Diceros bicornis minor: one gene and its partner. The protein of the gene in region 2 interacts with the protein of the main gene of each other region in a pairwise test. Links are inferred from orthologs where the notes say so. Each region holds a gene or a part of one and is shown on either strand. Other genes may lie near its edges.

Region 1 (3,748 bases), on a different chromosome or scaffold from region 2:
ACATCCTAAAATTCTGGTTCCATTCCTCCAAACATGCCTGTTTATTTCTATCTTAGGGTCTATATGATTCATAAGAAAGTTCTCTCTCCCCTTTCTCTTGTCACCTTTCATACACACTTTTGTCCACTGTTATAAAGTATCTTTTTGGTGTGAACACGCCAATGCATATAAACTTTGTCACCTGTTTCTTCCAACCAAGCTCCAGTTCTTTAAATCTGAAAAGAGATTTCTATACACTGTTCTATTTTTCCACTGTTGAATCCCAGATGTTTTTCTGCAACAAGGTATCCAAAGCACCTGTATTACCTGAGCTTCCAGTGGTGCTTCTGAGCAGCTGTAATAAGAAGCAGTGTCCTCCCCCCTGGCTTGGAAGCCTAAAAGACAGAAATAGGAATAAAATAAGCAGGAGCCTAGCCTCTGATCCTTTCCAGGGTCATGAAGAAAGACATTAAAGCCCACAAGTCTCTGCCTCGTCCTCTTCTCCAGAGATAACAGCACATATATCCAGAGTGCTCAGGCAGTTGAATAGAGAAAAATTCATCTCTTAAGCTCTAATTTGTAGGAAGACATCCCTGGAAAAAATTTTCCATGTATCAAACTTCACTGTTTTCCTTTATATCATATTCTTCATTCTCTAAGTGTACCTATTCCCCAAAGGTTAAATTTACTTCCGATTCCAATTTCAGGTAAATGCACAAATAAAAGTGGAAGACTCAACATTGTTCCCATGTGAACAATGGGAAACAGGAAAAATCAACTTCACAGATTTCGCTTTTATTCAGGGCCGATGAAAACAAAGATGTGGAGGTTATTTAAATGAGAAAAGTGGCACTAGAGGAAAAAGAACAATTATTTATGTTTCTGGGGCAGAAAAAGAGGTCAAGGGGGAGTCACTCAGGGGGAAGCCTTCTTAACAGATTTTCAGAGTAATAAAATGGGCTCGCGTGTGTGTGTGTGTATGTGTCAAATTTTCTGAGTAACAACTTTGTACCAAGTACTGAATCAGGTGTGACAGAAACTGAAAACATTGCTTTGGTCCTCCCAACAGTAGCTAACAATGGAACTCTGGTAGCTTTGGTAGCTAACAATGGAAGAAAACTCACGCTAAACCATCAATATGTGAATCTACACATGCCAGAAACATCAAGCACTGAAGAATGGAGCCTTAATCTCTGATAACAGAGAAAGCAGTACTGATCAGTACTCTGAGAAACTACCCACTGTGCTGATCAAGTCCTATAGAACACTGCAAGCCTCAAATCAAACTGAAGGCAACATTTATCTCCGAAGATTGGCAAAGTGCGGATGCACAAAAAAAGATGACGAGATGGGAAAACAAGATGGAAAGACAAATTCCTAGTTCCATAAACAAATTACACACTGGGTACAAGTCTTGCATCCCTTCTCCGCCTGAATTCCAGTACCTGAAAAGCACTTAGCTTTCTCCTTCACTCCCAACAGAAATTGGGGTCACGTCATCAATCCCAGAATGATCCTTGCTCCCTGCATCTAAAACATTAAAGAACACCTGCCTCTAGGTCACTGAGGGGTTAGCCAAACACAGGCTAATGAAAGGACTTAAAGTGGCAAGAGGTCTGCAGGAATGACAACAAAGAGCCAAGCCTGTGCACCAGGTTCCCACAACACAAAACACATTTCGGAATCTGAAACCTCGGCCTCTGAAGGGGCACACTGAGGATTTCTCAATGGGAAGACGCACTGTGACTCCAACCGAACTAACGGGGAAGAGGGACCATTCCAGAGAGCTGCCAACGCTGCCAGCAGAGCCAGGAATCAAGAGGCTGAACCCAGCCCGAGACCCGAATTGGCTGAGGGCGAGAGCTGCGCCCGCCAGAAAGAGAGGAGCTTGGAAGAGACTAGAGACTACGGCTTCCCATGATCCGAAATCCTTGCTCCAACAAGGGTAGGGGCGGAAATTGTGAATTCTGCGTGTAGAGGGTGGGGGTTGACCCTTCAAGCAGAGGGGCAGGGGCGAGGCCCCGGAGGGGATGCTTCCTTGTTTGGGGGCCTCTTCCCGCCCGGAGGACTCGGATACCCCGGCCCGCGGAGACACAGTGGCGGGGACGCCAGGGCCTGAGGCTCCCTTCTCGGCCCGACCGGAGAGAAGCGCAAGGGGGTCTAGGCGCGGCCTCTTTCGCTCCCTCGGTCCGCAGTTGTCGGGCCCCGGTCCAGAGAAGCAACGGGCTCCAGGGGGCCACTTCCTCCGGAGCTCCGAGCCCAGGCCTGCTTGGCCTCAGTGAGGGCAGCCGGCGGTCCCCACTCCAGGCGACACTCACCCGCCCATCTCACGGCGCTCCTCGGGCTCCTCTCGCTCGTCCCGGAGCCGCCGACACCACAGCCGCCGCCATCCCCGGCCCCGGAGCCGCCCCACACCCAGCGCCCCCCAGCCGGGCGCCCGGAGATGGCGTCAAGCGCGTCCCGCCCCCGGCGCGGGTAGATTGCGTCACGGCCCGGGCCGGAGAGCGACGCCCAGGAGTACCCGGGAGGGGAGGGGGCTGGCCAACCGCCCCTCGCCCCCAGCGCCCTCTCTAGTGGGAAAACTAACTTCTGTTTCGGGGCCGGGTCACGTGAATAGGGCTGGGCCCGGCCCCCTCACCCTGACCCCACAATGACCCCGTTATCTCTTTACTCCAGTAAATTCCGGGGGTTCCCAAATAGAACCCTGGGGCGTGGTCATCAAGAGACCCTCATTTCCTGGACTTCCCGGGCCCAACTCGTGAAGCATCGTCTTGGGAACCTCGGGAACCCCGAGGCAACCCGGGCCCAGGAGAGTAAGCAGATGCCCCTGCACATCCAGGGTGGAGATGGGAGCTCTTTAAGAGTTGAGGGCGCTCTGAGGGGGATGAGAATGGACCGGACCCAGGATTTAGAAGAAGGTGAAGCAAGTAGTGGGAGACTTGAAAGTCTATGAGGAATGAGAGGAAGGGGTTGGGTAAAGTGGGAAGCAGCTTGGTTTGGTGGAAGAGGGCTTGACTACTCAATGAAGTATTAGGTCACCATTCATTGCCAAGTAACTAGTTGACTTCGTAGTAACATAAACATCTGATTAACTTAAGTGGAAAAAAATGAACACCAGATGAATTTGTGCTTTGATTACACCTATGTAAAAAAGTAGTTCTGCGTACAAATAAAAACTAAACTGAAAAAGAATAGGTTTAACTTTTGTAGAGATTGGATTCCGAGTGGATTTTTCCGCTTTCTGTTTCTACAAACTCTTTTCAATAAATAACAATTGATTTTCATTTGATTTAAAAAGTACTGGCTGGGCTCTGGTCCCTACTTTGTAGCTGTCTGACCTTAGGAAAGTCATTTTACTACTTTAGAATTGGGTTTCCACTTCTGCAAAATGAGGAGCTTGAACTAGATGGAGTGGGAGTAAATGTAGATAGAAGAGCTCTTTAAACATTTTAAGTGAAAAAATAAGCAAACTTGCACAGTGAGATATCATGTATTTAATATTAAAAGACATAACATTACAGTTGCATATATTTCTGTATCTGTACAGAAAAGGAGTAGAGGATATGTAACAACTAGTTAACTTTGCTTATCTCAGGAGAGGAAAGTGGAACTGGGTGGTGGCCAAAAGGAACAAAAGGGACTTATGTTATTATTTGGATTTTTTATGAGAATATTATCTTAGAAATATTGAAATGAGTAAGTTAAAATACAAATAAAGTATATGATCTCTAAGATTCTTTCTAAGGAAGACTGAGACCTCAATTTTATT
Region 2 (3,748 bases):
TTGTGTTTATATATTGTAATTATTTGTTTCTCTACCACTCGCCCCTCCTAGGCCCTGAACAATTCCAAAGCAGAGAGCAAGGCTTACTTGTATTTGTATCCTGAAGGCTGAATAATCAGACACAAAGTAGGTCTCAATAAATGTTTGTTGAATGGATAAATGAATGAATTAATCCTTTTTTTCCCCCTACAATGCCTTACACAGTACTCTACACATACCAGGAACTCAGTAAAGCTCATTAATGAATTCATGCAGAAATCTTTTGGACCCAACCACATGAACCTTTATCGTGCCTCAGAAAACCACTTATACTTTAAAGTTTACCTACTAACATTACAAATTAACAGTTTTAGTCTAACATATCAAATAAATAGGTTCAGTGAATAACTACATCAAGGCTAGCTCTAGAAGGATTTAAAATCCATTATTCTAATTAATGAATTTGTGACCCTCAACATGGGAAAATCCAGTTAATAATCAAAAGAGAGGTTATCCCCTGCAAATTTATAGCTACAAAAGATAGTGAAAAAAATTATCAGAGGGCCAGCCCCGTGGCTTAGCGGTTAAGTGCGCGCGCTCCGCTGCTGGCGGCCTGGGTTCGGATCCCGGGCGCGCACCGACGCACCGCTTCTCTGGCCATGCTGAGGCCGAGTCCCACATACAGCAACTAGAAGGATGTGCAGCTACGACATACAACTATCTACTGGGGTTTTGGGGGGATAAAAAAAAAAAATTATCAGAAAGCTTGTATCTATTGATTGAAATCGATAAATTTTTTTTATGTCTGAATTGAAGCCATTGTTTTCACTAGATAAAGAGTTAACAAGCAAAGTGGTCCAAACCTGTCTCTAGAAAACAGTCCTTGAGACTCAGAGATTAAATGTTTTGCCCTCTCCGTGACTGTAACTCCTGGGAGACTCCTTTTATTTCCAGATTGACAGATATTCAAAACTTGTTCTGTCTCCTAAAATAAAACGTCATCCATTTCTTAAAAGGGAAATAACCAAACAGGCACATTTTGGGAACACTAGGTTTTACATTCAAGCAACTAAAACTAACCCTAGTGTTCAGCCTGCTGCTGCTGCAATAGAAACACTTCTCTTAAGTTTTTAAGTTACATCGTGGAAGGTTTAAGTGTTGTACAGCACTTCCTTTCACTGTATCATCTAAACTGATTTTACACTGCATACATAATTTCATAAGTACACCGTAAAGGAATTCTACACTTGAATGAATCTGGGAAGAAACATGATCTTAGCACACACCCCCTTCCTCCAACTCAATACTCTCCAGAGGAAGCACATCTTAGTTTTTTTCCCTCAAGAATTTCTTTCTCCCGCCCCCACCCCACACTTTATTTTAGAGCAGCAATCATTCATTATCCCACTCACAGTCTCTCCACCGAAAAAACCGTCCCAACTAATACTAGTTCACCAGGACCCTCCTTTCAGCTGCTGGGAGGTCCGGGGGAGGAACTGGGGTGTAGTAGGGTTCAAGGGGCAGGGGCCGGAGCGTAGAAGGGTGTGTGTGTTGACAGCAAGCCTCAGAGTCCGTGGGGGATTTCTTTGGTAGGGGCGCGGGGCAGTGAAGGTCTGGGACGCCACCATTCCCGCCACGCCATTTAGGACCCAGTCCTGGCGCGCAGTCCCCGACCAGCCTCAGGCGCACCCCGGTGAGCTGCGAAAATCTGACACCGCGCCCCCCAATCCCCACCAGTGCTAAGCAAATCGGGCCCAATCTCTGTGTTCCCATTCAACATACCCTCCTCCTCGCTGTACCCCACTTTTTCCCACTTATTCCTCGATGTAGCCCGGTCCCTTTAGCCAGTTCTGAGTCCCTGTAATTCTCTTGCTCCCAACACACACACCCTTCTACACTCCGACCCCTGCCCCTCGAGCCCTACTACACCCCAGTCCCTCCCCCTGGACCTCCCAGCAGCTCCAGCCCTCCCCGCGTGCCCTAGTGTAGACTGGCGCCCTTTCCCTATACCCACAGGACCCGGGTCCTTCCCCACGCGTCACAGTTGGACCCATTCCTCCTGCGACCCGACCTTCCCCACCCCCTCCCTAGGCGCTACCCTCTGTACCCCGTTACCTCCGGCCCCGCCCCCTTGAGGGTGTCGCACTCACCTCTCCTGCGGCCGCATCCTTAACCGCCGCGGCTGCTATAGCTACAGGGAGCCAAGGCAACCAGCTCTCGCGACACTTTCCACAGCTACGGCGAGAACGGCCAAGAAGCGCCTCTCGGAAGAGAGTGAATGAGTCAGGCTCGAGACGGCTAACTATATCTCGCGATAGTACATACTGTGTAAAATGGCGGCCGTAAGGCGTCTAAGGGGTGGCCTGGAGAGGTCTGGAGGTGGACGAGGGCGGCGAAAAATCTTGAGCTGGCTGGAGAGCCGGAAGACTATTGTAGGCAAGACAGTCTGGGCTGGGGGAAGTTAGTATGGCGAACCCTACACTGGAATTAAAATTAGGGATGTGGCCTTCTTTTCCCAAGTGCCTCAAACTTAGAGCAGTATCACCCTTAGCAGAAGTTACGTTTTCCTGGCCTTTCCTTCTGCATGCGGAGTAGTTAGAGATGGACCGAGCAAGCCAGAAATTGACCTTCCCGTATCATTACCTTCCTTCAGGAAGTTTTCATCCGTCCTTCCCCTACACTGGGTTTTCAATTGGTACTTGGCTTCATTGAAATGTTTATGTTTATCCACAGGTGCCCCACTCCCATCAGTTCGCCCGACCAAAATAGGAAATAAAAGTAAAAAAAAAAATCAAACGTAAGCACTCGTGTTCGGCCTTGAATGCGGAAGGGGACCGCATTGGTGTGTGATTTGAACTTTGTACTTGTTGCTTGCCGCCCTATGGACACATCCTTACTTAGGGACTTTCTCGACGCTTAGTTGTACGGCTTTCTGTCTCTGCTCTCAAACTGTAAATTCAGACTGAGTAGCATCTGGGACAAAAGGTGAATTGAAAGAACAGAGGGGAACAAATAAGTGAATAGAAATAATAAATGGAGAATTCATTTTCTTCTCTTCCAAGCCTCTGATTAGCTCTCATATTCTAGACCAGTGCTGTCCAGTAGAAATAGGTTGTGAGCCACATTATGCAATTTAAAATTTCTCATAGCCACATTTTTAAAAAGTAAAAAATATGAAATTAATTTTAGTAATGTATTTAACCCAACGTATTCAAAATATTTCGACATGTAATCAATATTTTAAAATTACTGAGATATTTTATATTCTTGTTTTCATACTAAGTCTTCGAAATCCAGTGTTTATATTTACAGAGCATCTGAATTCAGACTAGCCACAATTCAAGAGCTCAATAGCTACATTTGGCTACTGACTACAGTTTTGGACAGCAAAACTCTAGACCCAAGACTAGGGAATGCACTATCTGGGTGACTTTAGGGGCATAGTATTATGGGCATGTGGTTTATGTAAAAGAAACCCTTGAAGTTGCTAATTCAAATGGCTGCAGAGGCTAGGCATGTAACAATAAAAGGTTACTTGGTGTAAAACAATAGGTAGTAGTGGTAACTAGGACCCTCTGGAGAGTACAAGCTCCCATGTTAAAGGGAACTCTCCTGGGCTCCTGAGTTTTAAAACATAATAATGGCAACAGAAGATGTCTATGAGCAGTACAGACAGCTAACTCTGCTGCCAATATGTGGTCTCTGTGAACTGGGGTATTCAAATGTATGAAACATTTTTGAAGAAAAGATGTTTTAACAGAATGGTGTT

What was found. The genes of interacting proteins can lie anywhere in the genome.
Region 1: the proteins of USP54 (region 2) and ATXN1L interact in binary tests that used the Homo sapiens proteins (3 or more experiments, as listed by UniProt). The link is inferred for Diceros bicornis minor from reciprocal best matches to the Homo sapiens genes USP54 and ATXN1L.

What each region holds. Positions count from the first base shown.
Region 1 is NC_080771.1:23,515,742-23,519,489, forward strand, and holds the start of ATXN1L (ataxin-1-like), read right to left. Parts: upstream 2,383-3,748; 5' UTR 2,298-2,382; intron 2,248-2,297; exon of another isoform or gene 1,425-2,247; intron 375-1,424; 5' UTR 307-374; intron 294-306; exon of another isoform or gene 1-293. UniProt on the Homo sapiens protein: Chromatin-binding factor that repress Notch signaling in the absence of Notch intracellular domain by acting as a CBF1 corepressor. Binds to the HEY promoter and might assist, along with NCOR2, RBPJ-mediated repression.
Region 2 is NC_080745.1:32,953,939-32,957,686, reverse strand, and holds the start of USP54 (inactive ubiquitin carboxyl-terminal hydrolase 54), read right to left. Parts: upstream 2,606-3,748; 5' UTR 2,130-2,605; intron 1-2,129.